Callithrix jacchus: one gene and its partner. The protein of the gene in region 1 interacts with the protein of each later gene in a pairwise test. Links are inferred from orthologs where the notes say so. Each region holds a gene or a part of one and is shown in the gene's direction. Other genes may lie near its edges.

Region 1 (16,485 bases):
GGGTCATTGCAATTAAGAAAAACTCCAACTAACTTACAATGGGCTACAAGGTGCTGCAAAATTTGACCCCTGCCCACCTTTTAAACTTCCCCTCATGCCAGTTTCACCCTTGTTCACCATATTTCAGCCTTCAAAAGTATTTCTTATTCCTAACTTGCCCTTCAGAGCTCATCCAACCACATGGAACTGTCTCTTCTCAGCTCTTACATGATTGGCACAATTCAAATGTCATTTCTCAGTTTGAATGTCACTCCTCAGTGACTCACTCTCATTTTCCCCACCCTCAGTCCTTCTTCATCCTTTCATTCCTTACCTCCTAGTATTTGTGAAAATTTGCTACTATTTTAGTGGTTTATTTTTTGTTCTTTGGCTATCCCACACATTTGACTCTAAGCTCCACAAGAGCAAAAGCTCATGTCTGTTTTTTCTCTGGAATTCATGTGTTTACTGTAGTCTCTGGCTCATGTTCTCTATTCCCAGTGCTGTAATAAGACATTTTGAGTCCCTAAGCACTGTTAAAATTATGAAAAGTATGGTGCTTCCCATAAATAACTAAAAATAAAAACTACAGTTACAATAAAGCTTATACTAAAATCAAACTGGCTTTTATTTGTAGAATTTCTGGATTGTAAAATTCTGGGAAAGGTCATTGAAACAGACGTTTTCTCATTTCTTTGGTGTCCCTGATGTTTTGGTAACCTAGGCCCACGTGTTATCTGCCACGGTAATATACAACTGTCCAGGACCTGAAAGGGAAAAACTGCTTCTCATTTTAGCTTCAGAGCAAAGGTTTGTATTATCATGCGAATATGACTTAATAAATCTGTAATGGAGCAGTGGTTGCTGTGAACATTATAACTTTTTTTCTACGGTTAGAAGAATTAATCCTTTGGCCTGGTTTCATTTATTCTTATCTCACACGGCTTGTCAGCTCCATAGCTATTGACAAGCCCTAATCCCCTAAGTAAATTAACAGAAGAAAAATGGAGGAAAGAAGTTGTGTGTTTATGCATGTTGGGAGATGGAGAAGGCAGATTATTTTGATAAACACGTAGGTGGCACATAATGGGAACCATGTTCTGTGCTAGGAATCAGGATTAAACAACACTTGAGCAGCATGCCATGTTCTTAAGCATATCAGGACCTACATGCATACTCTAAACCACCTGCTTCCACTTCACCCCACAATCTCTCCAGTAATATCTTCCCTGGGATTCCAAACTACATTGTACTTTTCTTTTATCTGCTGTCAGAGCTGCCCGATTTTCTCTATTGTAGTGCTCAACATAATTTATTTTAAGTAATTATGTAATCTCTCTTTCCTCTTAGACCATAAGCTCCATAAGGGGAGTTCTCATGTTTCCTGACTCATAGCTACATCTCTGATACTTAGTAACAGCGTGCAATAGCAAGTAGCAATAAATATTTCTTAGATTAAGTAACAATGAGTGAATGAATGAACTTTAACCTTGACCTCAAAAGGCTTGCACTAAAATCAGAGAGAAAGACAAAGAAAAGAATATTTTCCATTCATCATCATAAGTGTAGTTAAGATGCATCATGGTACAATGGAAACCCTTGCTTCAATGCTAATCCTGGTATCAGTAAAGATGCACTGAAGAAAGTAATGGTTAAGTTTTAAAGGTTGAAGAATTGAGGCAGCAAAGGAACCTCAGGTGGTACTAGACGGAGCAAACACAGAAGTGTCTACCTGCTATGCAGGAAGTCATCTGTCAGATCATTGACCATAGAGTGTAGAGTTCATAGGAGAGTTCTTCTAATATATTTGTATACTGAAACTATTGATAAAGAACATTCAATGAGGTCAGAATGAGATCCTTATTCTTAGCAAACTCAAGAAGATCCTTACTGCTTACATTTAATGTTCTCTGTAAATATATAATGTATTAATAATCTCTTATAAAGGAGGCAGAAGACAAACAACAGTCACTTATGAATGCCTTTGTCTTTGCCTTCTTTTGGGGAAAATCAGGCTTTTGACTAAGTATGAGATAAGTATCTTCAGAATTCCTCATTATCTGTTGACGGCTGGTCTGCAGCCATAACAGCAAGCTTTTAGAATAATCCCAAGTGATCTGATTGATTTGGAAACATCCAGAAAAATGTGCTAGGCATAACCATAGTTAATAACATTGTGTTTATAAGAATATTGATATTATTTATCATTTATTACATGCCAGTTACTCCTTAATACTTTGCACACACAAACTTCAAAAACAACTCAATAGGACCACAGACTTTCAACAACCCAGGGAGTGATCTTGGAAGCAGATCCCTGAACTCAGTCAAGACTTCATATGAGACTGCAACCACAGCCAACCATTTAACTACAACCTCATGAGAGACTTTGAGCCAGAAGCTGTGAGCTAAGCCACTCCCAGATGTCTGCCCCACAAACACTATGAGTTACTAAATGATATTTCACAGTGCAAACAAATCACACAGAACAATAACTAAGTGGGGTAGGTACTGCTCTAATGTCATACAGATAAAGAAACTGAGCCATAAATAAATAAAACAACTTTTCCAAGGTCACTCAGAAGAGAAATCGTAAAGCCTGGACTCAATCAGTAAGTCTGTTTCCAGAGCCCACACTTTGCAGCTTCCTCCCATTATACTGTGTTATCTCCTGAAATTTTAATGCCACTTTTGAAGCCAAGACCCATACCCTGTGCTTTTTCAGACATCTCACAGAATTCAGAAGTCAAAGTTGGAAAAGTCCCAGGAGAGGCAGACAGTTTGGTCACAATTAACACCATTCTTAGAAGAAAATCAGTGTTTCCCAAAAAACATCATGCCTACGTAGTGAGGATATGTTAGATGACTTCAAACATGACTTCAAACATGTTAGATGACTTCATACATGAGCAAACATTTTTACTTTAATAACTATGTATTTTTAAAATCTGTGTCAGATAAACATTATGTTAATATGCATGTGTGCTAAATAAGGTAACTAGTATAATTATCTCAGAATTTAATTGTGAGAAATATCAACAGTATATTATCTGAACAAATTGTATTATTATAAATTACAGAACCATGATTCAATGCAGAAAGTTGTTCCTTTATTGATTTACTGGTTTATCCTTCAACAAATATTTATTGGGCACCTAATATAGCCCAGACACTAGTCACATACAGAGAAATAAAAATCGCTGCTCTCCAATAGTTTACATTCTAACAGGAAGAAACAAATAAAGAAATTTAATAGCACACAAAAACTACAGTATATTACTAATATATAATATAGTAGTAATAGAGTATATTACTAATATATAATATAGTAGTAATAGAGTATATTACTAATATATAGTAGTAATAGAGTATATTACTAATATATAGTAGTAATAGAGTAATTACTAATATATAGTATAGTAGTAATAGAGTATATTACTAATATATAATATAGTAGTAATGCTATACATCATATTATAGTATAGCATACCACATTAAACTACATTATATTATATGATAACATACTGTATTATATTATCATATGGTATATTACTATTAATTTTATATATAGTATATAGAAAAATAGAGCATGGTAAGAGAGGGGATGGTAAAAGAGAGGTGTGAATTTTTTTTTAATTAAAAATTATTATAAATAAAGTTGAAGTCTTTGTTTTACTAAAAAAATTAAGAATTTGTTTTTTTTTTAATTTTTTATTGGATTATAGGTTTTGGGGTACATGAGCAGAGCATGCAAGACAGTTGCGTAGGTACACACATGGCAGTGTGCTTTGCTTTTCTTCTCCCCTTCACCCACATTTGACATTTCTCCCCAGGCTATCCCTCCCCACCCCCCCTCCCACTGGCCCTCCCCTTTTCCCCCCAATAGACCCCACTGTTTAGTACTCCCCTTTCTGTGTCCATGTGTTCTCATTTTTCATCACCCACCTATGAGTGAGAATATGCGGTGTTTCATTTTCTGTTCTTGTGTCAGTTTGCTGAGGATGATGTTTTCCAGATTCATCCATGTCCCTACAAACGACACAAACTCATCATTTCTGATTGCTGCATAATATTCCATGGTGTATATGTGCCACATTTTTCCAATCCAGTCTATTATCAATGGGCATTTGGGTTGATTCCAGGTCTTTGCTATTGTAAACAGTGCTGCAATGAACATTCGTGTACATGTGTCCTTATAGTAGAACGATTTATAGTCTTTTGGATATACACCCAGTAATGGGATTGCTGGGTCAAATGGAATTTCTATTTCTAAGGCCTTGAGGAATCGCCACACTGTCTTCCACAATGGTTGAACTAATTTACACTCCCACCAACAGTGTAAAAGTGTTCCTTTTTCTCCACATCCTCTCCAGCATCTGTTGTCTCCAGATTTTTTAATGATCGCCATTCTAACTGGCGTGAGATGGTATCTCAATGTGGTTTTGATTTGCATCTCTCTGATGACCAGTGACGATGAGCATTTTTTCATATGATTGTTGGCCTCATATATGTCTTCTTTCGTAAAGTATCTGTTCATATCCTTTGCCCACTTTTGAATGGGCTTGTTTGTTTTTTTCCTGTAAATCTGTTTGAGTTCTTAAGAATTTGTTTTCATTTGCTTCTTATGGGTCCATTATCTCTTTCTTTCTTTCTTTTTATTTTTTTTTAAGATGGAGTTTCAGTCTTTTTGCCCAGGCTGAAGGTTCAAATGGCATGACCTCAGCTCACTTCAACCTCCGCCTTCCAGTTTCAAGTGATGCTCCTGCCTCACCCTCCCAAGTAGCTGGGATTACAGGAGCCAGGTTTTTAGTAGAGCCGGGTTTACACCATGTTGGCCAGGCTGGTCTTTAATTCCTGACCTCGTAATCCACCTGCTTCAGCCTCCCAAAGTGCTGGAATTACAGATGTGAGCCACTGGACCTGGACCGTCATCTTTACCATGTCAATTTTCATTTATGTTTTGCTGAAGTCAGAGACAAATTTCACTTAAAAATGAATAAATAACAAATTAAGTAAATCAGAAATAATTGCAATAAATAAGGGAAAACTATTATTAAGTAATGATAACGGTGCTACCTGGACGTGACCAAAAAGAAATAAGAAAGTCATATTTGAGTGGTTAAATTGGAGACTTCTTCAAATAGGAAATACCAAACTTTTCTCCCCACCGATTGACTCTTGACCAATTGTCTTATGTTGATGGGAGGAGAGGAGAAAACTAGAATCACTCACCCTTAGCCAGTCAGCTCCTGGAGCAAAGGATGAAATGCTGTGTGGAGGGTTCTGTCATCTAGTGTGTCACAGCTTCTATAGCCTGCAACTTCCTGCTTTGCTTACTTACAAGACCATCTCTGTGGAGAAGATAAAATACAGGAATGCAAAATGAAGTGAGATGATCACAACCTATTCCTTTATGCTACACATCACACATATGTGATGTTGACTTGGAAGTGTGTGCAGGCTGTGTGGCTGCTGAGGCTTTGACATAAGGCAGGGGACACTAGCTGCACAAAGCAGGAGGCAGGCTTTCCCACCAAGTGGACGGGAAGCCAGGGTCAACTGCTGGGGAAGAGCTGCAACCCTTTCCCCCATCACCTAGTTATCTTCAAGTCAGTTTTATTACAATAAGCTCTTGACATCCAGAGTGACACCATGCAGGAAAACATCCATCTTCTCATGGTTTAATATTAGTCACTTACAAATGTGTAAAAAGTAACTGTAGCTACATTTATTGAATATTTTCTATCTGCTAAACACTGTACATTTTATACACATCATCTAGTTTAATTTTTATAATGACTCATGAGATTCTATGATTATTTCTTTTTACAGATGAAGAATCATAGATCTGAGGAAGTTAATATATATGTTCCAAATTATACCTATAGTAAATACTGGCACTAGGAATGGAGCCAAGATCGTCTGACTCTGAAACTTGTGTTAATGCCGTTTTTACCTGTAAATAACTCTGTGGATTAAGAACAGATATTATTTCCATTTTATGGAAGAGTGGCAGAAAAGTGTAGTGGTCAGGAGGGTAAATGTGAGTGTTATAAGAGTCCATTTTAATTCTGGCTCTGTCGTTTATCAGTTGTGAATTTAGGAAATGTATCTAACTCCTCTGAGTTTTACAATGTCCTCAAATATCGAAATGTGTAGAACATTCAATCTCTTAGGGCCTCTCTGTCTTCGCCGTCATCACCATGGCTATCACGTATTTTGTGTTTTCTCACTTAATTTTTTCTCCTACCTGAAATTGCCAAGTAATTCCCCTTAAACCCTTAGGTTAAGAGGTGGCTACTACTATGCCACAATAGTAATCTTTATTGTACACTGTATGATTACTATATGCAAGTGTTTTTAGTGCATTATCTCATTCAACCTTTACAACGCCTGCACGCGATAAATACTAGTGTCATCTATAATGTATAGTTAGAAACAGAACTCGCCTAGAACTCGACACTACTGATTTCACTTCCCCTCTTCATACCCACCACCCTGACTGCCAGCTGACTTCGGAACTCGAAAAGGGCATCCATGAAAATGGCAGGAAGTGTCTTCAGGAAATGGAACGCTCCAGGAGTTTGACACTAAAAAAGATTGGGAACTGTCCACCAACTGGTGCTACCGAGAATAGTGGTTGTTGAAAGGAATTTCAGTCTCCTCTAGTCCAACTTACTTTTCCTCAGGGAAGTGTCAGATACCTCCAGGTCCTCTTCAGAAGGGCAGCTGGAAAAACAGTAAAACCAAGTAATTCACCTGAGACTAAGCCGGAAGTAGTGCAAAGGAATCAAGCAGACTCTTAATTTATTACGAAGTCCAGCCACTCCGTTTGCTTTCTAACAACCTTGTTGCCTGGTATTGAGTAAAGATGCTATAAAGGATCAACACGTTTGGAAGTAATAATAATCTGCTGTCATGCTACATAATTTTCTCCACATTTGTTATCATTTATCTGATGGTAAATTTCGTGCATTTTATTGGAAAACCACCGAAAATGAAAAAAACAGCTAAGCTGTTTCGTATGTTTCGACCTAGATTTCAATTAAATTTTAATTATTCTCGTCCCGTGCCTATCCACCCTCGCCCCATTTTTTAAAAGACCTGGAGTCTAGGGTAGGAGAGATCAAGAGCATCCCAGAGGGCAGCAGCACAAATTCGCTCCCCTCCAGACCCTGCAGCTTGCTTCGCCCATCTCCCCTCCCCTTTAGCTTGGTCGCTTATCATTGGTCATTGCCACGGCAACCAGCAGCTGCCAGCCCAGCAGCCTCTACCGCAGCAGGGGTGGGGTACTGGGGGAGGGGGAGAGAGAGGAGGAGCCAGCGGAGGTGTCTGCTGCAAGTTCCTGGCTGCTTCCGAGCTCACCCCATCCTCCGAGAGGGAGGAGGCCCAACTGGTGATGCTGCTGCTGCTGCCGCCGCCTCTATTGCTGATACTCTAGTGGAGCTGGAAGGGTGGTTCCTATTCGCACCATCGCCAACCAGAAACAGAGAGAAAAAAAACGGCAGCCGCTGCTGATGTTGGGTTCGGAGGCTGCATCCGACTCGGTCACAAGGAAAATGGATTCAGTTTGCATCTCTCCCTCCTTTAAACAGCTTCTCCGAGTCTCAGCATGGTGAGTAGGAAACAGTAGGGCTCCCTTCTTGGTTTAGTGTGTTATTATTTGACCTGTGTATACATTTCTGGCCTGAACTTGAACAATGACTCCCGTGCCTCAGACTAGGAGCGGGAGATGTGGAGACAGAGATGAGGATGGAGGGAGAGGAAGGTTGCCAGGAAGACAGAAGTGAGAAGGCAACCGCTTGTGTTAAAAAAAAAAAATTTGATGTTCTGATTTTATCTCTAACTGGCTCAGAATGCAGACTGAGCCACTTGGTGCCTTTTTTCCTAAGCTTAGCAACAGCATCAGGGGTTGGAAAAGGAGCTAACAACAAGAAGAGGGTGTTATTGAAAGGAATCGTTTCATTTGCAGCTCTCACATACAGGGTTGGGCCTTCTTCAGAAACACATTTGGTGTCTCATAAGCTTCCTAGACTCATGATAGGTGGTTTTGCTTATTTCATTGATTGTTTAGAAAAGGTGGCCCTAGAATTCGACATTCTATTTTATATTCTAATGTACTCTTATTGAGAAATCATTTGCCAGAACCAGTTTTATTTTATACATAGATTTGATTGTGAACTTATACATGTATATCTTATGGATATACATATCATATATACACACATTACTTAGCATTTATATGGCAATTATGAAAGATATTTATATGTAGAGTGTGCTTTGCAATCATTTTTATGGGTTAGATATGTCCTTGCATGCCTGAAAGTAATTGCATGTTTTTGAAACTATGCTTCTGGTTTGTATTATTATTCATTGGCTTCATTTGGATTAATGTGAAATTTACTCTTGTTGTTGTCTCTTAATTTTATTGTGACCAATTGGAAGAGATGCCTATCATTTGATCTGTATCATAGAACTAGATGCAAATTCATAGCCTGCCTCTTTATTTTTAATTGGGTTTGTGGGGGGTGATATTGAGGACACCAAATTTACAATGATGGGAAAGGGAGGCGGCTTGTGGTATTATTTTGTTTCTAGCGTCTTGCCAAGTAAATGTTTGAGCAAATCAGTTTTCTGGAAATGCCACCCCAACCTTTTCATGTTTGTGCCTTGTGTCCCAGGAAGCACAGCTAAGCTGGAAGGTGAAATGCATTCATTTTATTTAATAGTGCTGCTATATGCTGTTCATTCCTTCAGTATCCAGGCACCATTTTACAGTTGTCTCAAATGTTGTATTGTGGGTCTCCTTCTGCAAATGATTAAGTAGGAAAGTAGGATTGTTTTGAAAATCTAGCTATTCCCAAGTACCTAGCCCAGCCATTTCTAAATTAGTCTGCTTATACAATGAAATGAAACCAGAGAGGGAGCAAAGCTGAGCAGGAAAATGTGTGGCTTGTAGCTGAAATGGGGGGCTATTGTAGTTTACAAATGCTTATTGGGATCTGCTTGACCTTTTATTATGTCAAGGCTTTAAGGCAGCTCAGGAGACTAAAGATGCTGGAGATGAGGAGGTTCCATTCCCACCCAGGATAATGGATTTCATTGAACTAAAGCTAGAAACATTTTGTAGGTAAAATGTATTAGTAATATTACATTCACCACATGGGCTATTAAGGTTTTATCCATTAATCTCTTCTCTAACAATATCGCTGTTAGTATAGACATTTTTTACAATGTAAAATAACAATTGTTTGGGGCTTAACCTTGCATATGATTCTACATACACCCCCACCCACATTTATAGTTTTCATATGTATTTGAATCAGATTTAAAGTTTAATTTCTCTGAGAATAATTGTTCTATTTGGTTTATACTTGAGAAGGGGCCTTAGTGACTTAATTGTGCGTGTGCTCATAGCATGCCATATGTTATAGATCCACAGCTTTGTAAACTCCTGCTACCGTGCGCCTAATTGTAACAACTATATGAAGTAGGGCAAGGAAAGAGATACTGGGCTTGTATGTTATATCAAAATTGTAAAACATTGCATCCTGAATCTTTCAGTGATAATTCTTGACTTCCAAAAATTAAAATGTTAGATATGTCTATAGTACACTCAAAAAATTAAGATTTGTACTAGTTGACCCCATTTCATGCAAGGAAAGGAGATATCCTGGGGTTTTGTTTTTGTTGAGTTTTTATAGGATGTGATTTTATAGGCAAAGTTGGTACAGTTCAAACAGAGGCAAATCCCTTAGGCCATGTGCTTGAAACTCCTTGTAGATAGCCTGTTTCTGCCTAGTGTCAGCTATTACCCTGATAGAAATACAGGTCTAGCTTTTGACCCCACAATTTAAGACAATTATATGGCCTTTGCTAAGGGGCCACAGAAAAGTGAAGTATGATTTAAGCACTAAAAGGTGAACTCTCTGAGGAAAGATTCTTTTAAAACTAGGATTATCTCATTTGGAGAAGAGAAAACTGAAATATGACAATTATTTGTTTCAGATAAGCTGAACATGAGGCATAAGCATAGGACATTGTTTATCGCTATTTTTTGGAACCTCAAATATGGTCAATGGGCTTCAACTTTATGAGGAATTATGAATATTAGAAATATAAAATTGTAGAAGTTCCTCATTGTATGTGTGAGTAGTCAACTGGCTAATCAGATAAAGCAGTTCACTCTTTTCTCATCAAAACCTCCGTAAGTATGACCTAGATATGCATTTGTCTAGGATGGACTAGATTTCCTTCTCAATAACTTCTCTTGCTTTTTCTAGAGGAAGTCATTTATTTAAGAGAGTATGTTCATTGTTTAAGATCAGGCACTTCTAGATTATAACAGTAAGACTCCATTTTGTAGTTGGCTTCTAAATTACAGGATCTAGGTATTTGTAAAAAAATTAACTGATTGTCTTCCTAGAGAAGTTTACATGTAATTCTGCCAGAATGCAGGAAACTGAACATTTACCCATTAACAGAGGCCTTTCTCAGCAACTTTTTGGATTGTGATGTCAAATGTCTATATTAAAATTATTTTCTGTTGTATGGTTAATTTTGAAAAATGTAATGTGTTATTTAAGGGGGTCTTGACACAAAATAATTTAAGAACCATCAAGTTGATTTTTTTAAAAAAAACAAATTTTTTGAAAGATATGTACAAATTAATGCTTAAATGTGTTGTTTAACAAACTAATCTTCCACTCAAACACTACCTTAAAAATGTCATTCATTTTGGAATATTGAAGTTAAATATTTTGATTGGTATGTAAGCCTTAGTAAAACTTGTTTTAATTAAGACACACGTTAATTACTTTCTCACTTTGTAATAGGATATTTCTTATTTCAAGTGACTTCAGAACATATTTTTATTTTATCTACCTTCTGCAAGTTGACTTCAGAATGACTTAGCCAATATTTGGAGAGTAAAATAGTTTTCTATATTTATTTTGGGTTCATCAAAAATCAATGCTTTGTTTCTCATGGTTGGAGTCTTATTGTGGAAGTTTTAACATAAATAACACAATAATGGGCTTTTACTGAAATAAAAAGTTAGGTTTATACTTGGTTGTTACTCTTTGAAGTCTGTTACAATTCCCTCTGTTTACAAATTCCACTATTATTCTATCAAGGGAAAAATGTGCTTTCAAACAGAATAAATTAATCAATTAACTAACAACTATTTGTAGAGCTTTTATATGACTAGGAGACGTTGCATATGTTGCAACAAAAGAATTTCCTTGGAGAATATAAGATCTACACCCAGGAAATAGTTAATGATGAAAACAATATAGTTGTAATTAGTACCATCACTTCACCTTATATTAATACAATTTTATATAATTCTGTCATTTTTCCATTCTTTATTTTTCATTTTATATTTATCAGTTTCAATTTCTATTCTATCATTTTAATTCAATCATATCAGCAAATCCAGTGTCATAACAATTATTTAAAATAAATGGGAACAGATTTAGGGAGGTTAGATTTGTTCAGATTTGTGTTTGGTGAATGGTGTAACAGGATGGATCACTAATTTCATGAGTACAAACTACCATAGTAGAAAGGTAGTGAATTATCTTACCAATTTGAATTTTAATTAGTAAAATAATTTTAATTCAATTTACAAATCTGCATTGTGTGGCTCATTTTAGTTCACTATTTCAGGTACCATAATTTGTTCTTTGAATGTATTGAGTTTGCCAAAAAAAGGGGGGGCTCACACAAAAAAAGTATTTTAGAGAAAATCTAGCCTTCTTGCTATTTCAGAAAAACCTAGAAGCATTTGTTTGCATGAAAATCAGAACTTTGTTGGACCAATATGCACTTATTTTATAGATAGATATTGTTATTTTTAATGACATAGAGGTTAGTAGGTGACCATTTTTCTATGCTTAGGATCAGATTAAAATTCCTATAGGTCCTGAATCTTGAAAAAAGTTTTGCCATTCCTACCTATATGTCCTAATTATCTCTCCACCTACACATTCTTAAAAGTAAAAATGATATTGTCATAAAATAAGTGTACATCAGTTCAATGATTTTTTGATTATTTTCTCTGAACAAATGCTTCTACATTTTTCTGAAATATCAAAAATATTTATGTGTTTTTCAGATATTCTAATTTCTGGTGTCTCTTTTTCTTCATTAATGGCCTAGCAACATACTGGTGTGACAATTTGGTAATTCAGCCCTGGCCAAATAGCAAATCATGGCATCTGAACTATATTCTACCTTTGTAAAAAGTGTCCTTGAAAATTAATTAGCATGCAGTAAAAATGAGACCTGTCACACTAAAAAAATTCTTCTTTAAATCATTATTCACTACTACAAGTAAATTCTGTGGCGTAAAGCTTTTTATATTTAAAAATAATACATCCTTATAGTGGAAAACGATAACACAGAAATGTGTAGAAGGAAAATGAGAACCACTCATAAGCCTACCATCAAGAAATCATTACTGTTAGCGTTTCAGAATATTTCCTTTTAGATACTTTTGTGTAGACACACAGAAACACATGCAGACACACAGTTTCATAAATAGACCATATTCTAGGCATTGTTTTATACTGCTTTTGCTTTATGTATAGTGGCCATCTATCCATGTCAACAAATACGTCTCTACTGAATTTTAAATTTCCTTGTACATTTTTTTGATGATTCAAGCTGTTTTTTCCTTCACGTGGGAGTCTTCACTCTTTACCTTTAAATACTTCTCATGATACAGGTAGACCATGCTTGATTTTAAGCAACTGTGAGTCAAGCATTATATTCAGGAAATATGAACTCTGTTACCCTGACCTGCCACTGCATCTTACAATGGGTGTTAAATTAACATTGGTCATTCCTTGTCTGCTGGTAATGAATAAGTTCTGAATCCAAGGCAGTGAAATCCCTGTTGAAGTCACTAGGAATTTCTCCAGGTGCATGCATCAGCAACAATTAAAAACAAAAAACTAAAACACATCTCTTTCAGATTCATATTAGTTTTCCCAGTGTGCTGTAGTGGTATGTCCTGTAGTTTAATTTTTTAATTAATTAATTTATTATTATTATTATTTCAATAAGGTCTTGCTCTGATGCCCAGGCTAAAGTTCTGTGGCATGATCTCGGCTCACTGCAACCTCAACCTCCCAAATTCAAGTGATTCTTGCACCTTAGCCTCCAGAGTAGCTGGGACTACAGGTACTCACCACCACTCCTGGCTAATTTTTTATTTTTAGTAGAGACAAAGTTTCACCATGTTGGCCAGGCTGGTCTCAAACTCCTTACCTCAAGTGATCTGCCTGCCTGGGCCTCCCAAAGTACTGGGATTACAGGCAGGAGCCACCATGCCCTGCCTGTCCTATAGTTTTATCCTTGGTTAAGCAACTCAACTCCTTTATGGGAAGATATTTAAGTGTCTTCTCAGAATAAACCAAGTGTATTAGTCTATTCTCACACTACTATAAGGACATACCCAGTACCAGGTAATTTATAAAGGAAAGAGGTTTAATTGACTCAAACTTCCTCAGGGCTGGAGAGGCCTCAGAAAAATTACAATCATGGCAGAAAGGGAAGCAAACATGTCCTTCTTCACGTGGTGGCAAGAGGGAGAAGAATGAGAGCTGAGTTAAGGGGGAGGCCCCTTATAAATCCATCAGCTCATGAAAGAACTTACTATCATGTGACTAGAATGGGAAAAACCATCCCCAAGATCCAATTGCCTCCCACTGGGTCCTTCCCACGACATTTGGGGATTATGGTAACAACAATTTAAGATGACATTTGGGTGGGTACACGGCCAACCCATATCACCAAGATCTAGTTTTGCTATTTTTTCACTATATTCATTATTTCCTAGTGAATTCATGTGTATCTTAGTTTTCAAATAAAAACCCAGTCATCTGAGTCTTTCCCCTTTTTGAATGTGAATGGTTGACTCTTCTTAAACTTTAAGTCTGAACTTCAAACATAATGCCTTGGAAAGAATTCCCTAGGTATATCTCCCCTATTACTCTCTCCAACCTGTGTGTTTCCTTCATAATATGTATAAAAAGTTGTAATTACAGAGCTATTTATTATTTGCTTTCCCTACTCATCACTAGAATGTAAGCTCCATGAGGGCAGAAAATGAACCTGTGTTGTTCACCAGTTGTAATGAATGCCTTGATACAACATGCATGCTCAATAAAGACTATTTGGCAGAGTGACAGAATGAATGAAAGAATGAGAGTCCCCTACAGGGCTCCTAGCCTAAGATTGTAAAGGAGACTTCAACTAATAGCTCTTTTGACTGTGATTCTCATTTTTTAAAATTTGACTGTAAAAACAAGATGAATTGTATTCATATCCTCAGGATATTGTTATGATTTTGATAAGGCAAAATCAGATTCTTAAAGGTAACATATCACAATACTTAACAATATACATGATTAAAGACTGCTCACTACATGCTATGACATAAGTAAGAAAGGCTATGAACACTTCCGTGGCTCTTTTCATTTTCTTTTCAAAACTGAATTGCAAGTCAGAAATAGTGATATCATTAACAAATACCTTTAATTCACTGTGATTAATTAAAATAAGTTAGTAATTTAATTATTATAAGCTCCAAATTACATGATACACCTTCACAGCTATTGTGCTATTTTAGAAATCAACTCTACTGAATTCATTAATCATAAACAAATCATTCTATCATCTCTCCATCCAAAAATTAAGTTGAATCAGAAATGCATCTTACTCCAAAGATAAATTAAGGCAGCATCCTGCTTTCATGAAAGTTTTGAAATCAAATATAAAAAGAGTGACTTGAACAAGAGGGTTAGCTTAGCAGACACAAGGACATGCTTTTGAACCTCTGAGGATAGACATTTATATGGGTGTCTAGCCTGCTGATAGGCTGTAACTTAAGTATGAGGAAAAAGCTTTTGTTGCCTTTGTTTGGAATCGAAATCAAGATCATGGCACTTACTGCAATTCTTGAATTTCTGGAGTTCAGCTGCAGTTAGAATATACGTGGAAAACCAAATCTGACTGATTTTAGCTGACACTATATAGTTAGAAAACCACTCAATATTATTTTCAAGAAGGAAATTTTGCTGAGATTATCCTGACTCTAAAAAAGCCTGTGAGCATGCGCTTAGGAGAAGAGAGTGGTATTTTCATCATACCTTCTTTCCAAACTGGAAATGTTCCCTTGAAAAATGCTTATACCCACAGTAAAAACCAGGTAATTGTTTTTTACCCACATTCCTTACCTGGCTTTTTCTTATGTAGCACTTCATGGAGAGAGGTGTATTCCAAAAATAAACGGAGCTCTTACTCTGTAGTCATCACTGATCTATATTTAAATCCCTTAACCTACTCATAGATCAAGCATACCTAATTTGAACTTACTTTCCAAAATAAAATTGTTAGTTTTTTTAAATGCAAAAACACTCATGAAAACAACTAGACAGTATTTTAAATTAGTAGCATTCTGTGAAATCTAGGCTATTGTGTCATTCTACCAATAAGCCATTAAATCAAGAGCCAAACAGTCAACACATTTCTATATGATTATAACCAGTTTGGAGAATTTATATTAAAAATCCATGCTGAGAATTCACAAGCTGCTAATTCTGCTAATTGACATTGGCAACATAGAGAGAAGGACTTAGATGTTTTGAAGATATTATAGACCCTCAATTTGCTTTCTTATGAATTTGCTAGGTAATTCAGCTAACAAAAATGGGTACTCTGGAATTACAGGGATTTCTCCATCATCTGCTCAGCTCTAGTTTCTTAAACCCAAAAGAAGGAATTATTCTGACCACTGGCTCAGACTCTGTCTCCTATTGTCTTTTAAGGAGTAATTTAAGTTGTAGTTAATTAACCATAAAATGGATTTTGTATTTTAGAGAACATATTATTTTTAGTTATATTATGAAAAATGTCTGAATTTTGACTTCTTTTTAAAGAACTTTATTAAATGAAATTATCTATAAAATTTAGAATATAGCATATTTTGAGCCAGATGCTTAAAACATTTAGCAACAATGAAAAATAAGTCTCAGCTTTTTCAACATTGAGGTAACAAGGAATGCCTTCCCTCAATCAATTTTACATAGAAGGAATGCTTTACCTGTTTTGTTCTCTTCTTAGCTAGATGGTCCCCATTTTTTACCTACAGGGTGCAATGCTACACTCTGAAACAAGAAAAGGGAAAATATTAGCATACAAAAAAGGAAATCGATTGTTGCATCTGAGTGTGAGCTTTGGATTTTTGCTTTCTACAGGTTTAAAAGAGTTCAGTATCCAAATGCACACTTAAACATGGTTGATCCATACTAACACTCTTATGTGGAAAGATTTGACTACATATACTACCGAATCTCTTTTAACTATGGTGTGTGATTTTATATTTTTTTCCTTTCATCTTACATACAGTTTTTAAAATCAAGCCTGAATGGTTTAGCCAAGGCCCCTGAAACATAGCAAAAAGACAAGATTAATATTTCTAGGCAGTCACTGGTCATT
Region 2 (15,945 bases), on another chromosome or scaffold:
TCTTTGTGCCACATGTAGAGAGTGATGATCTTTATTGTAAATAAATATAAGGTATAATGATAAATTTTCTTTTATATTGGTAACTTCCATTCAGGAAACTAAACTCTTCCTTAAACTGTCATAATCTTTGAGTTTAAGTACCTTTCATTTAGGATTTTGATGTATTTATGAAAAGTTAGCCGTACAAATACATCTATTAAAGTTTTATTTTTCTGTTAAATCATATTTCAAATTTTTTGGAAAGGAAAAGTGTATTTTTTAAAATAGTGAAATTTCACCAATTTACAGAGTTACACAGGATTGAATTTCATAATCTTCAGATCCTTTTTTTTTTTTTTTTTGAGAAAGTGGTTCTCAGTTTTCACATCCTCTATTCATAACAATAACTTGCTCTGGCAGGTATTCTTAATTATGTCATGCTTTCCCTTGAAGGGGGTGGTATAGGCGGTGGATAGTGTGCAGTATTTGAAAACACCTGTCTTCTTTTCCCTTTCCTATTTTTTCCCATTTTCCCTACTTCTTTGCCAGTTTTCTTTTGTTTAACCCCGTTGATTACCCCCCAACTTTTAATTTCTTCTCTTCCTCCATCCCTTCCTTCTGACTCTATTGTTTATTGGGCACTGGGAGAATACTACAATAATGTAGATAAAGCACTTGCCCTCAGAAAGAATGTATTGCAGAGGGGAGGTGGGACAAGGAAGCAGTCAGTTTTACTGTAGTGTGCTAATTCAGTGTGATACAATGGGATGGGGGTGGCAGAGGGCCATAGAGTCATCTTCCCAAGGCTTCAACAGGGGCGACATTGAAATCGAGTGCTTACGTAGGCAAGAATTAACCAGGTACTGGAGGGAGGTGAGGAAAGCAGAGAGAATAGCATGCAAGAAGCCTAGGAGATGATCATTTAGTCCAGCTGGAAGGCAAAAGGGGTGTGTTTGCTTTTGCTGGTGCAGCTGCTGACAAAGCCCCATTAGTGGGGACAATTCAGTGTCATTAGTGTCAATCAGCCCCATTAGTGTTGTTTGAATTTGTTAGGATGCCATGAGATCTGTTATTGAGCTAAATTACCAATTTAGGCCAGAAATAGATTAATAGGTTGCCATATTTTGAAAATAACTACTTTAAAAAAAGCAATAAACATGTGAGTCAGCAGTGGTCTTCAGATCACAGTTTAATAAGCTACCATCTTATTTTTTTAATTTTTAATTTTAGTTGCAGGGAGTATATGTACAGGTTTGTGAAACAGGTATATTGCCTGGTGCTGAGGTTTGAACTCCTGTTGATGCCTCACCCAAACAGTGAACCCAGTAGGTACTTTTTCAAGCCCCAGCCCTTCTCTACCTCCTTCCCTCACACCCTTCCTCCTGTCTTTTGGAGTCCCCAGGGCCTGTTGTTCCCATCTTTATGTCTGTGTGTACCCAATGTTCAGCTCCCACTTATAAGTGAAAACATGCAGTATTTGGTTTTCTGTTTCTGCATTAATGTGCTTAGGATAATGGCCTCCACCTGCATCCATTCCATTGCAGAGGGCATGATTTCATTTTTTAAATGACTGTGTAGTATGGTGTATATGTACCACATTTTCTTTATCCGGTCCACTATTGATGAATACCTAGGTTGATTCCATGCATTGTGCTGTGAAATACCTATGAGTGCAATGTCTTTTTGGTAAAATGATTTATTTTCCTTGGGCTGTGTACCTAGTAATGGGATTGCTAGGTCGAATGGTAATTTTGTTTTTAGTTTTTTGAGAAACTTCCACATTGCTTTCCACAGGGGCTGAACCAATTTACATTCCTACTAACAGTGTATAAATGTTCCTTTTCTCCACAACCTCACCAACATGTTATTTTTTGACTTTTTAGTAATGGCCATTCTGACTGGTGTGAGAGAGAATCTCATTGTGGTTTTGATTAGCATTTCTCTGATGATGATGAACATTTTTTATATTTGTTGGTTGCTTATATGTCCTCTTTGAGAAATGTCCATGTTCTTTGCCACTTTATAATGGGGTTGTTTTTTTCTTGATGATTTGTTTACCTTTCTTATAGATTCTGGATATTAGTCCTTTGTTGGATGCACAGTTGGTATTTTCACCCATTTTGTAGGTTGTCTGTTTACTCTGTTGATAGTTTCTTTTGCTCTGCAGAGGCTCTTTAGTTTTAGGTCCCATTTGTCAATTTTTGTTTTTGTTGCCCTTGCTTTTGAGGACTTAGTCATATATTCTTTGCCTAGGCCAATGGCTAGAAGAGTATTTCCTAGATTTTCTTCTGGGATTTTTATAGTTCGAGGTCTTACATTTAAGTTTTAAATCTATCTTGAGTTGATTTTTGTATATAGTGAGCAGTGGTGGTCCAGTTTCATTGTTCTACATATGGTTAGCCAGTTTTACCAGCACCATTTATGAATAGGGTGGCCTTTCCCTACTGTTTATTTTTGTCAGCCTTGTCAAAGATCAGTTAGTAGTGTGTGGCTTTATTTCAGTGGTCTCTAGTCTGTTTCATTGGTGTATCTATCTATTTTGTAGCAATATCATACTGTTTTGATTATTGTAGCCTTGTAGTATAATTTGAAGTCAGGTAATGGGATGCCTCTGGCTTTTGTTCTTTCTGCTTAGGATTGCTTTGGCTATTTGGGCTCTCTTTGTTTTGGCTCCATATGAATTTTAGAACAGTTTTTTTCTAATCTTGTGAAAAACAATGTTGGAAGTTTGATAGGAATTGCTTTAGGCAATGTGGATATTTTAATGATATGATTCTTCCAGTCCATGAACATGGAGTGTTTTCACATTTGCTTGTGTTGTCTCTGATTTCTCTCAGCAGTGTTTAATAGTTATTATAGAGATCTTCCATCTCTTTGGTTAGATGTATTCCTCAGTATTTTTGTTATCATTTTGTGGCTGTTGTAAATGGAATTGTGTTCTTGATTTTGTTCTCAGCTGGAGTGTTACTGGTGTATAGAAATGCTACTGATTTTTGTATATTGATTTTTTTGTCCTGAAACTTTAATGAAGTTGTTTATTGGGTCTAGGAGTTTTTTGGCAGAACCTTTAGAATTTTTTACATATAGAACCATGTTGTTGGTGAAGAGAGATAATTTTACTTCCTCTTTACCTATTTGGATGCCTTTTATTTCTTTCTCTTGACTGATTGCTCTGGCTACAGCTTCCAGTACTATGTTGAATAGGCATAGTGAGAGTGGATGTTCTTGTCTTGTTCCAGTTCTTAGAAGGAATGTTTCCAACTTGCCCATTCAGTATGATGTTGACTGTGGGTTTGTCGTAGATGGCTCTTACTATTTTGAGATATATTTCTTCAATGCCTTATTTGTTGAAGGTTTTTTTTTTCCATCATAAAGGAGTGTTGGAATGTATGATTGCTTTTTCTGTGTCTATTGTGATGATCATACAGTTTTTAATTTTATGTGGTGAATCATGTTTATTGATTTGCATACGTTGAGCCTCCTTGTACAACTTGTCATGGTGAATTACCTTTTTGGCATGCTGCTGAATTTGGTTTGCGAGTAACTTGAGGATTTTTGCGTCTGTGTTTATCGGGGATAGTGGCCTGTAGTTTTCTTTCCTGTTGTGTCTCTGCCAGATTTTGGTATCAGGATGATACTGCTTTCACAGAATGAATTAGGGAGGTATCTCTCCTCCTCGTTTTTTTTTTTTTAATCATTTTGGTAGGATTGTTACCAGTTCCTCCTTGTATGTTTGGTAGAATTTGGCTGTGAATCCCTTTGGTATAGGGCTTTTTCTGGATGGTAGGTTTTTTATTACTGATTCAATTTTGTGACTCATTGTTGGTATGTTCAGGGTTTCATTCTCTTCCAGGTTCTTGGAAGGTTGTGTGTTTCGGGGAATTTATGCATTTCCTCTTGATTTTCTAATTTGTGTGAATAGTGGTATTCACAGTAGTTGCTGAGGATATTTTACATTTCTGTGGGACTGGTTGTAATGCCACATTTAATATTTCCAATTGTACTTGTTTGGATCTTCTCTTTTTCTTTGTTAATCTAGCTAGCAGTCTATCCTGTCATTTCAAAGAACCACCTTTACTTTTTTCTTTCTTTTTTTTTTTTTTGAGACAGAGTTTCGCTCTTGTTACCCAGGCTGGAGTGCAATAGCGTGATCTCGGCTCACTGCAACCTCCGCCTCCTGGGTTCAAGCAATTCTCCTGCCTCAGCCTCCCGAGTGGCTGGGACTAAAGGCGCGCACCACCATGCCCAGCTAATTTTTGTATTTTTAGTAGAGATGGGGTTTCACCATGTTGACCAGGATGGTCTCGATCTCTTGACCTCATGATCCACCCACCTAGGCCTCCCAAAGTGCTGGGATTACAGGCGTGAGTCACCGTGCCCGGCCAAGAACAACCTTTTCATTTTGCTGATCCTTTGAATGCTTTTCTTGGTTTCAGTTTCATTTAGTTGTACTCCAATTGTAGTTACTTCTTCAATTAGCTCTGAGTTTAGTTCTTATTTTTCTAGTTCCCTTAGGTGCAGTGTTATAATTTGAGATCTCTCTTGATACAGGCGTTTTGATACTTTCCTCTTAACACTACTTTTGCTACATCCCAGAGGTTTGGTATACTTGGTCTCTGTTTTCATTTGTTTCAAAGGATTTTTTGAATTCTGCCTTAATTTCGTTGTTTATCCAAAAGTCATTCCGGAGCAAGTTTTCTAGTTTGCATGTGCTTGTTTAATTTTGAGAGTTCATCTTCGTATTGATTTCTGTTTTTATTCCACTGTGGTTCAAGAGATGCTTGGTATGACTTTGATGTTTTTGAATTTGTTGAGACTTGCTTTATGACCTGGTCAGTCTTTGAGTATGTTCCATGTGAAAATGAGAACCGAATTTATATTCTGTGGCTGTTGGGTGGAGTATTCTTTAGATGCCGATTGTGTCTAATTTTCAAGTGCCGTATTTAAGTCGAAAATTTGTTTTCTGCCTTGATGATCTGTCTAATGCTTTCAGTGGGGTGTTGAAGTCACCCACTATTATTATGTAACTGTCTGAAGTCTTTTTGCAAGTCTAGTAGTAATTGTTTCATAAATTTCGGTGTTCCAGTGTTGGGTGTGTGTGTATGTAGGATAGTTAAGTCTTCTTGTAGAATTGAACTATTTATCATTATGTAATTCCCTACTTTGTCCCTCTTGACTGTTACTGGCTTAAGGTATGTTTTATCTGATAAAAGGATAGTGACACCCTGCATGACAGATCTTTCTCCAGCCTTTTACTTTGAGCTTACGGGTGTCATTGCGTGTGCCATGGGTATCTTGAAGACAGCAGAAGGACAGGTTTTTTCTTTTTTTTTTTAAATCTAATTTGCCACTCTGTCTTTTGAGTGGTGTGTTTAGGCTGTTTATGTTCAGGGTTAATAGTGATGTGTGAAGTTGTGTTCCTGTTGTCGTGTTGTTAGCTACTTTCTAGTCTCGATTTGTGGAGTCTATAGACTACATGCTTAGGTAACGCTTTTTGTGACAGCAAGTATTATTCTTTTGTTTCCATGTTTAGAACTCCCTTGATCACCTTTTATTAATCCTTTTAGGGTTAATATTGATATGTGAAGTTTTGTTCCTGTTGTGTTGTTAGCTAGTTGCTTCGTAGTGTCAGTTGTGTAGCTGCTTTATGGAGACCATAGACTGTGCTTGCATATGCTTTTTTGACAGCAAGTAGTAGTATTTTGTTTCCATGTGTAGAACTCCCTTAATCATCGTTTATAGGGCCAGTCTGGTGGTATGCCACCATTTGAGAAGAAAATAGAATTCTACAATAGATCATGAATTAACCTTCCTATGTTAGGAAGATACTGTTTTAATTTTATTCTTACTATTAATTTTTTTTAACAGAAGTTTTGATTGCTGAATTATATGGGAATTGTATGTAAGCATAGCTTACAACTCTTCAGCCTGAATGTGTTTTTTAGAGAGTATACATTAGTGTAACACATATCTTTGTTATATTTTGTATGTTTTCTTGGAATCTGGGATTAAAAGAGTTCATTACCATCCTAGAAATCTGATAACATATCTTCTTGCCATATTTTTACTAAGGACCAACCTGACTTGAATTTTAAATAAAAAAAAAAAGTGAAGCAATTACAAAGTAAGTGTATTCTAAGAGACTCATTCATTTTTCCACATGGATCATTTGAAGAAGATTATCATCAGTGAAGAAAAGGGAAAAAGTTTCCCAGTTAATGAAAGTATCTAGATTATTTCTCATGAAGTCTAAGGGTTGTGGTTAGGGAATGTAAGAAGACAGATAATTTACATGATAGGGCTTTGATGATAGAGATACTATTGCAAATGACCGTGAGGTGGTCGCTGGCCATTTTATTTTGTCACAGGTTAAGTCCCAGGATACAGTCTTTCCGTTGTAGTGAAAACAGAGTTATTTTTCCTTGATTATAGCCTAGGTTTTAGAAATATCAAAACCATAGTTTCTAGTTTTGAAATCTGAATTACCCCATGAGTGGGCAGGAGTCTGAGGTCGCAGAGCCAAGAGCGCAGCAGTTCTGGAAGCGTCGACTGGGGCTGGGAAGCCAGTCAGTTCTGTGGCTTCTGTTTCCAAGCTTGCCTTCTCATGCCTGTGCCGGCAGGCTGCTCTCCACTTAGGACCTGAGCACTGCTCCTCCCTATGGATGGGGATGCGGTGCTTTTCCCTGCCAGAGAACCCGCTCGGCTCCTCCCTGGCCTGCTTTGGATCTCTGTGGAGAGGCATTTCATCAGTGCGATCTTCCTCACCACTTAGTCTAAAGAGTTTCCCCTACAACCATCTCTGTCTCTACATTTCCTATCCCCCTTCCCTGCTTTCTTTTATTTTTCCTCCTAGCCACTTATGACTGTTGATTTTCTCACATATAATTTACTTGTTTCATATTGTGTGATCTGTCTCTCCCACCAGAATGTAACATTCCTCAAGGGCAGGGCTTGTGTTTTCTTTGCTCTAGGATCTTTATTTAGCACCTAGAATGGTGCCTGCATATTGCAGGTGTTCAGGAAATGTTTTTGAATAAACAAATAATGAATGAATTTAATGTAAAATTCCTCGACAGAAATTTTATATGACTTTCTAGTGCTCTAAGTAAATAAGAGTTGAACATTTTCTCTCACCTTTATTTGTAGAATGACAAAGGACAGATCCCTGCTGATGTTGTTCCGGACCCAGTAGATATGCCGTTGGAGATGGCTGATGCTGCCGCCGCTGCTAAGGAAGTCAAGCAGATGCTCCTAGATGCGGTGCCTCTGTCGTGTAACATCTCAAAGGCCATGCTTCCAAATTACGGTCACGCCACTGGCAAGGCAATGCTTACGTCACTTGGCCTGAAGTTGGGGGATCGTGTTGTTATTGCAGGACAGAAGGTACAATAAGTAACTGCAGTCTCTAAAGCCAAGGTCACTGTGTCCATGACCTGTGTTCAAGGGTGCATACAGTATGTGAAGTATTTGGATCGAGTATAAAATTAACACCAAGACAAATGTATGCCAAATTGCAGAGTCTTTATTGCCGGTGACCACGGAGGACTCGCGTCTCTCCAGCCCGTGGCCTGGAAAGGAGGGTGACAAGACCCTTTTATGCCTGTAAACCACCTCCGGGGTGAGGGTGTGGGGTGGGGATGGGGGTGAGGGGATTCAGACATTCTGAGGGCCAGGGGATTCTGTAAATCACTTCCCGGGCAGAGAGGACGGTGCAGGTCTCCGGACATTCCAAGGGCTAGGGGACTTGTCACTTCGATTGTAACCTAAGTGGTTACAGAAGCAAGATAAGCGTTAGTTTACATATCATCTGGGCAGTGGTGGAATCCACAAATCGTAGTTACTTATTACAAGTCGCAGGGGCCAGGATTGAATTAGCTTGGGCTGCTTATTCTGATCATTACCGGTAAGCAAAGGCCAGCAATTCAGGTAGTTACTGATAAGAAAAGGTAAGCAGTCATTGTGAGGAGAATGGGGCAGCCATTACAACTTATTTTTGGAAAACAGCTTTGTCTTTTATAAAATGGCGTTGCTCAGGTTCCAGCTATAGCACATATGGTCAGTGTTTTGAGTTTTTTAAAAAAAGGTCCAACATGTAGGTAGAAAGATACTTAATGGAAAGTGTAAAACTTAGATACAAATTTACTCTTAAGTTATGCTTTAAGAATATAAACTACCTGAACTTAATAATGAAGACATCTTTATTTGAATAGAATGGAGTGGAGTAGAACTCTTGAGTGTGTTTAGAGGCATGAGCTGAGGGATGATCTAGGGTGGAGGATTTTCTTTGCAGTCCCCCTCTTCCCCCAGTGCAGCTTCTCTGACTGCTGCTACTCCATAGAAATTGAGCACAAGACACTTTTGCTGTTTGTGGGTATTTGTCTTTGAGTTCTCCACAAATAGGGCAATCCGAGATACTATATAATCTGGTGAGAAGGATTTATGTGGAGAAGAGGATGACTCCTGCTCCCATCATCCACACCCTTTTCTCCTCCCAAGCTTTCGTTTCCATACTGCATCATTTATTGCCAGTTTCTTTTAAAAAATATCTCCTATGGGAGGTTTTCTTGGTTTTTCTTAATATAGAGGTTAATAGGGAGCTTGGTGTGGAGAATGGAACAGGGAATTCCTGCCTGGATATTGAATTTCCCAACATGGTTACGCCCAATTTTTTTTTTTTAAGATGGAGTCTCACTCTATAGCCCGGGCTGCAGTGCAGTGGTACAGTCATAGCTCACTGTGGCCTCGAACTCCTGGGCTCAAGCGACCCTCCTGCCTCAGCCCCTGGAGTAGCTGGAACTACAGGCGTGTGCTACTATCCAGCTAATTAGGATTCTTATGTCTTGGAAATTGTCTCCTTTATTATTTAATGTTCCTTTTTATATTTGGTAATGTTCCTTGCTCTGAAGTGTGCTCTCTGACCACTTAAGTGAGCTCTCACTTCAGAGCAAGGAGTGTTACCAAGGATTAAAAGGTAATGTTGAAAGAGCAAATTCTTTAAATTCACTTTGAGTGAATTTTTAAAAACTTTCATGGTGAAGTAAAATTGCAAGAGTAGGACACTTGGAATTACTAATAATTCCCTAAAGTTATTCTGACTTATATTTTCTTTAGGTTGGTACATTAAGATTTTGTGGAACCACTGAATTTGCAAGTGGGCAGTGGGCTGGCGTTGAATTGGATGAACCGGAAGGAAAAAATAATGGAAGTGTTGGAAAAGTGCAGTACTTTAAATGTGCCCCCAAATATGGTAAGGTTGACATTATTTAACTCAGTAAGAACTAATTAAAAATAATCCAGTTTTACTCTTTTACAGTTGTTAAGTCAAACTTTTCTCCTGATTACTTACGTGATAAATGAGGGGCATGTGGATGTAGGGACAGCTTTTTAAAGATGGGAGATGGGTGATGTGAGAGGGAGAAATGGACATTGCAGGAGAGAAAGGGGACAATTACAGGGGGAATGTCCTGAAAAATTTGAAAGGGAAACGGAATTCAGTATAAGACCCTTGCATTAGATCAGGCACTGCTTTTCACTTTTTATTTATTTTGTTTTATTTCATTTATTTATTTTTTTGAGATGGAGTCTCACTCTGTCACCCAGGCTGCAGTGCAGTGGCTCGATCTTGGCTCACTGCAACCTCTGCCTCCCTGGTTCGAGTGATTCTCCTGCCTCAGCCTCCCAAGTGGCTGAGACTACAGACACTTTTCACCATGCCTGGCTAATTGTTGCATTTTCAGTAGAGATGGGGTTTTACCATGTTGGCCAGGCTGGCCTCGACCTCCTGACCTCAGGTGATCTGCCTACCTTAGCCTCCCAAAGTGCTGGGATTATAGGCATGAGCCACTGTACCCAGCCAACCATGAGTTTCAGAGGTCATGATGGAAGGGTTTAGGAAGCTGTCTGGTAGTGATTGGTGAAAAAGAGGGCATCTGATGGGATTGCCTTGATGATGTTTCTGAGAAAGTGTCTTTCTTGGGACTGGTCTCTTGGGTGGCTTTTAGAGGGGAGATAGTGATGAGAGAGGTGTTTTCATCAGTAAGCTGTGAGCTGTGGGACTGCCCTATATTCTTGTAGCCAGCAGCATAGTGATTGGGAGATAATCTCTGACCAGGGGCATGCCCAACTCTGCAGACCTCCCTTAAATCCTGCTCCTGGTGGTGTCATGGCCGAGAGAGGGACTTGGTTATCAAGGAAGTACAGAGCTTTGGAGGTCATGAAGAACTTGGAAAATTGGAAAAATCAAGCAAGGCCAACTTGACTGCACTCCTGAGGTTTCTTTGAAACTCTGCGAGGTTTCTTTCTCTTTCTTTCTTCCTCTCTTCCTCTGTCCGTCCGTCCGTCCGTCTGTTCGTCCATCTCCCTCTGTTGCCCAGGCTGGAGTGCAATGGCACCATCTTGGCTCACTGCAACTTTCGCCTCCTTGGGTTCAAGCAATTCTCCTGCTTCAGCCTCCTGAATAGCTGGGATTACAGGTGTGTGCCATCACACCTGGCTAATTTTTGTATTTTTAGTAGACACGGGGGTTTCACCATGTTGGTAAGGCTGGTCTTGAACTCCTGACCTTGTGATCCATGTGCCTTGGCCTCCCAAAGTGCTGGGATTACAGGCATGAGCCACCGTGCCCATCCGTGAGGTTTCTTTCTCTTTCTGACAAAGGCAAATGTTTAAGTAAATTTTGACAAATGTTGAAGTAAATTCTTTCTGACATGTTTAGGTAAATTTATTCTTTCTCTCTCACACGCACTTATCCTGTCTATTGATTTCAATTTGATTTTGTAGTCACTTACTATGTTGTGAATTTTTTTCCTGGAAATGAAATATTCTTCTATAACATAATTTTCCATGATCGTGTAGTATTCATCTCGTGGCCTGATGGCGAGGTGGAGTGGTGTGATGATGATGAAGGGTATGGACTTTGGAGTCTGACTGCCTGTGTGTGAATCGATTTCTCTACTTATCAGCTATGTGACTTTCTTTCTCTTCTTGTGCCTCAGTTTGTCTTCTGTGAAATGGGGATGACACTATCATGAGGACTTGTGCAAGGATTAAATATGTTGGTAAACATATAAAGCACCTAGGATAGTGCTTGATTCCTTGTAAGCACTCATGAGATGAGAGCTACTGGCTATTATGTATTTATCAAAATTACTAGTTTCCTTTCATCACATACTTAGGATGGAATTTCATTTTTCTGATCAATTAAAACTTTTTTTGTTTGTTTATAAAAATGCGCATTGTATAAGATTTGAAAAAAAAATTCTGCATTTTTTGATATCCTAGTATAATATCCCCAAATCTTTACATATTGTTTGAAAATGTGATTTTGAATAGCTGTATTTCCTTTCACTTTTCCAATTTGATGGATGAAAATTTTATATTTTAATTTGTATTTCTCTTATTGTGGTGAAATTAAAGACTTATTAAAGTGTTTTGTTGTAGTATAGATTTTTTAAAAATTGTGTTTTAGGTTTTGGGGTACATGTGAAGAACATGCAGGATTGTTGCATGGGTACATACATGGCAATGTGGTTTGCTGCCTCCATCCCCATCACCTATATCTGCCATTTCTCCCCATGTTATCCCTCCCCAACTCCCCACCCCCTGCTGTCCCTCCCTTAGTTCCCCCTCCACAGACCTCAGTGTGTGATGGTCCACATGTTCTCATTGTTCAACACTCACCTATGACTGAGAACATGCGGTGTTTGATTTTCTGTTCTTGTGTCAGTTTGCTGAGAATGATGGTTTCCAGTTTCATCCATGTCCCTACAAAGGACCTGAACTCATCCTTTTTTATGGCTGCATAGTATTCCATGGTGTATATGTGCCACATTTTCTCTCTCCAGTCTATCATCGATGGGCATTTGGGTTGGTCCCAAGTCTTTGCTGTTGTCAACAGTGCTGCAATGAACATTCGTGTGCATGTGTCCTTATAATAGAACAATTTATAATCCTACGGATATATACCCAGTAATGGGATTGCTAGGTCAAATGGAATACCTATTTCTAGGTCCTTGAGGAATCGCCACACTGTCTTCCACAATGGTTGAACTAATTTACACTCCCACCAACAGTGTAAAAGTGTTCTTATTCCCCACAGCCTCTCCAAATCTGTTGTCTCCAGATTTTTTAATAATTACCATTCTAACTTGTGTGAGATGGTATCTTAATGTGGTTTTGATTTGCATTTCTCTAATACACAGTGATGAGCATTTTTTCATATGTTTGTTGGCCTCATGTATGTCTTCTTTTGAAAAATGTCAATTCATATCCTTTGCCCAGTTTTGAATGGGTTTATTTGTTTTTTTCTTGTAAATCTGTTTTAGTTCTTTGTAGATTCTGGATATTAGCCCTTTGTCAGATGGGTAGATTGCAAAAATTTTTTCCCATTCTGTTGGTTGCTAGTTCACTCTAATCATTGTTTCTTTTGTTGTGTAGACGCTCTGGAGTTTAATTAGATCCCATTTGTCTATTTTGGCTTTTGTTGCCAATGCTTTTGGTGTTTTAGTCATAAAGTCCTTGCCTATGCCTATGTCCTGAATGGTTTTGCCTAGGTTGTCTTCTAGGGTTTTTATGGTGTTAGGGCTTATGTTTAAGTCTTTAATCCATCTGGAGTTAATTTTAGTGTAAGGTGTCAGGAAGGGGCCCAGTTTCTGCTTTCTGCACATGGCTAGCCAGTTTTCCCAACACCATTTATTAAATAGGGGATCCTTTCCCTATTGCTTGTTTTTGTCAGGTTTATCAAAGATCAGATGGTTGTAGATATGTGGTATTGCCTCCAAGGCCTCTGTTCTGTTCCATTGGTCTATCTCTCTGTTTTGGTACCAGTACCATGCTGTTTTGATTACTGTAGCCTTGCAGTATAGATATTTTTTATGTTTCTTGGCAGTTGCCTATTCATATTATTTTCCCAGTAAAAATCAGGATATTAGAGTGTTTTTTTAAAAAGGGATTAGTTTTAAAAATACATACTTATGATATTAAGCTTTTATATTAATATAATATTTCACTCAGTTTGTCATTTGTTTTTGAACCTCATTTGCGGTGTTTTGTGGACATGTAGCTTTATGGCTTAAAGACTTTGCTTTTATAAATTCTTATATTGTTTTATGCTTTGATAATTCCTCCTAATTTAAGGATTACCTCTACATTTTATATGTCTTTAAATGTTTTAATTTTTCCTTTTATTTAGACACATAATTGTACCTGTTTATGGGGTACAGTGTGATATTTCTGTGTAATATAATGTGTAATGATCAAATCAGGGTAATTAGGATATCCATTACCTCAATCATTGATCATTTCTTTGTGCTAAGAACATTCAAAATCCTCTCTTTTAGCTTGTTGAACATATACAATAAATTGTTAATTATCTTCACCCTGCAGTGCTGTAGAACACTGGAACTTATCCTCCTGTCTAGCTGTAATTTATGTTTTAATTTTTTATACTTAATTATGTAATCCATTTGGAATTTATTTGGTCAGTAGTGTGAAGTTAAGAATTTAATTTTAATTTTCCTCCGATGGATTACTTTGCCACCTGTCAAGCAGACTAAGGGCAGGATCAGAAGCCTTTAGCCGCACACAGGGCAGAGGTAAATCAGAATTACAGGAAACATTTAGACTGCCAGCAGATCGAGTGGGGACTCCCAACCTTTCATTGTCACAAGGGGAGACACGCTTGATTAGCGCAAAGCTAGATACCCCCAGGATGCTGCTTCTGTCACCTTATATGTACCTGAAGGCAAGATGTGGGGCTGGGGTCTTGTGTTGGATTGTGTGAAAATGGGCGTAGCCCTTGACAATACTGGGAGCTCTAGGTCATTGCTAAGCTACTTACGGTGGAGGGGAGGGGAGTTGGGGAATCTCCTGGCTAATTAGAAACCAAGAAATTTCTCAGCAACCATTTTCTCTCTTTCTAAATCTATCCTCTTTTTCCTTTTGACTTATGGTGCTGCTTTTGTTATAGATGAAGTTCTTATTAATGCTATGGTGTGTTTCAGGATTGTTTTGTTCTATTGATCTGTTAATTCTCGTACATACTAGATTTTTTAACTGTAGAAAATGATAAGTTTGGTAATGTGTTGGTAAACGTATAAAGCACCTAGAACAGTGCTCGATTCCTTGGAAGCACTGAAGAGATGAGAGCTACTGGCTATTATGAATTTATCAAAATTACTAGTTTCCTTTCATCACACTCTTAGGATGGAATTTCATTGTTTTGGTCTATTAAAACTTTTTAAAAATAGACCCGAGATCTGTGTAATTCACTGCTACCCCGAGATCTGTGTAATTCCACTGCTACCCTGAGACCTATGTAATTCCGGCCAGCACTGCTGCCCTGAGACCTGTGTAATTCCACCCAACACTGCTGCCCTGAGATCTGTGTAATTCCACCCAACACTGCTGCCCTGAGATATGTGTAATTCCACCCAACACTGCTGCCCTGAGATCTGTGTAATTCCACCCAACACTGCTGCCCTGAGATCTGTGTAATTCCACCCAACACTGCTGCCCTGAGATCTGTGTAATTCCACACAACACTGCTGCCCTGAGATCTGTGTAATTCCACCCAGCACTGCTGCCCTGAGATCTGTGTAATTCCACCCAACACTGCTGCCCTGAGATCTGTGTAATTCCACCCAACACTGCTGCCCTGAGATCTGTGTAATTCCACCCAACACTGCTGCCCTGAGATCTGTGTAATTCCACACAACACTGCTGCCCTGAGATCTGTGTAATTCCACCCAGCACTGCTGCCCTGAGATCTGTGTAATTCCACCCAACACTGCTGCCCTGAGATCTGTGTAATTCCACCCAACACTGCTGCCCTGAGATCTGTGTAATTCCACCCAGCACTGCTGCCCTGAGATCTGTGTAATTCCACCCAGCACTACCATCCCCAGATCTACGAAATTTAGATACTTGGTGGTATTACTGTTTTTATGTCTTTTAGTTGCCAAAGTGAATACATGTACTTACTTTACTAAAGTCAGATTGTATGGCAAGGCTTATTACAAAACGCTCTCTTAGCATGTATTTCTCTGCTCCTGAGTCCTGCTCCTTAGAAGCAAGAACTTTTTCAACTCTTTTAGCTGTATATATTCTGATACTAATAACTGTATTTGTAAATAAAATATTTACATGAAACTCTCTTGACTTTTCCAGTTTGAGACGTCTGTTGATTTCATACTATGAAGAGAAAGATTTAGTGCTCTACATGAGACAATAGAGTGTTACTTTAAATATACTGAGAGAAGATGAAATCCAGTGTAACATTTTCTTGGTTGACTTGTTTATGGTATAGCATGTCCTTCAGTAGCTTTATGACAAATGACTCGGAAGTAAATTTTTTGAGACCTTCTATTCTAAACAAATGTTTATTTCTCCCCTCATACTTTATATGATAGTTTGGGATGAGGAATGTTAGGTTGGATTTCATATTCTCTCAGTATATTTAAGGTGAGACTCTATGGTCTCAGGTAGAGTTTGACAGACTTTTTCTGTAAGGGGCCACATACTACATGTTTTAAGGCCTTGTGGGCTATGTAGTCTGTGTTGCAGCTATTCAACTCTGCTGTTGTAAACAGGCAGCCATAGGCCATGTATAAGCAAACGATGTGGCTATGTTTCAGTGAAACTTGATCAATAAACAGGCAGTAGGCAGGATATGGCTGTTGGGCCATAGTTTACCAACTACTGTCCTGAGCTTTCAGTGTTGCTGTTCAGAAGTTTTGAAGTATTGCTGTACAGATTATTTAGCATAAAATGAAAACGAAAAAACATAGAGGTTTTTCTTTTATTTTTGACGCTTTCCTCCTCCTCGGAAGCTTTTAGTATTTTTCTCCTTTTCTTTTATTGTTCTTGAGAGTTCATGCCATTTTTATTCCTTACTGATATTTTAGTGGGGTTTGGAGAAGAAGAACTGGCATGAAACCTATATGCAGTGGGCCATGTTTATCTGGAAAT

The links.
Region 2: the proteins of JAKMIP2 (region 1) and CLIP4 interact in binary tests that used the Homo sapiens proteins (3 or more experiments, as listed by UniProt). The two-hybrid records come from large-scale screens. The link is inferred for Callithrix jacchus from reciprocal best matches to the Homo sapiens genes JAKMIP2 and CLIP4.

What each region holds. Positions count from the first base shown.
Region 1 is NC_133503.1:46,333,272-46,349,756, reverse strand, and holds the start of JAKMIP2 (janus kinase and microtubule-interacting protein 2), read left to right. Parts: upstream 1-7,336; 5' UTR 7,337-7,591; coding exon of another isoform or gene 7,592-7,594; intron 7,595-16,485.
Region 2 is NC_133515.1:85,913,648-85,929,592, reverse strand, and holds part of CLIP4 (CAP-Gly domain-containing linker protein 4), read left to right. Parts: intron 1-7,125; coding exon 7,126-7,362; intron 7,363-9,090; coding exon 9,091-9,226; intron 9,227-15,945.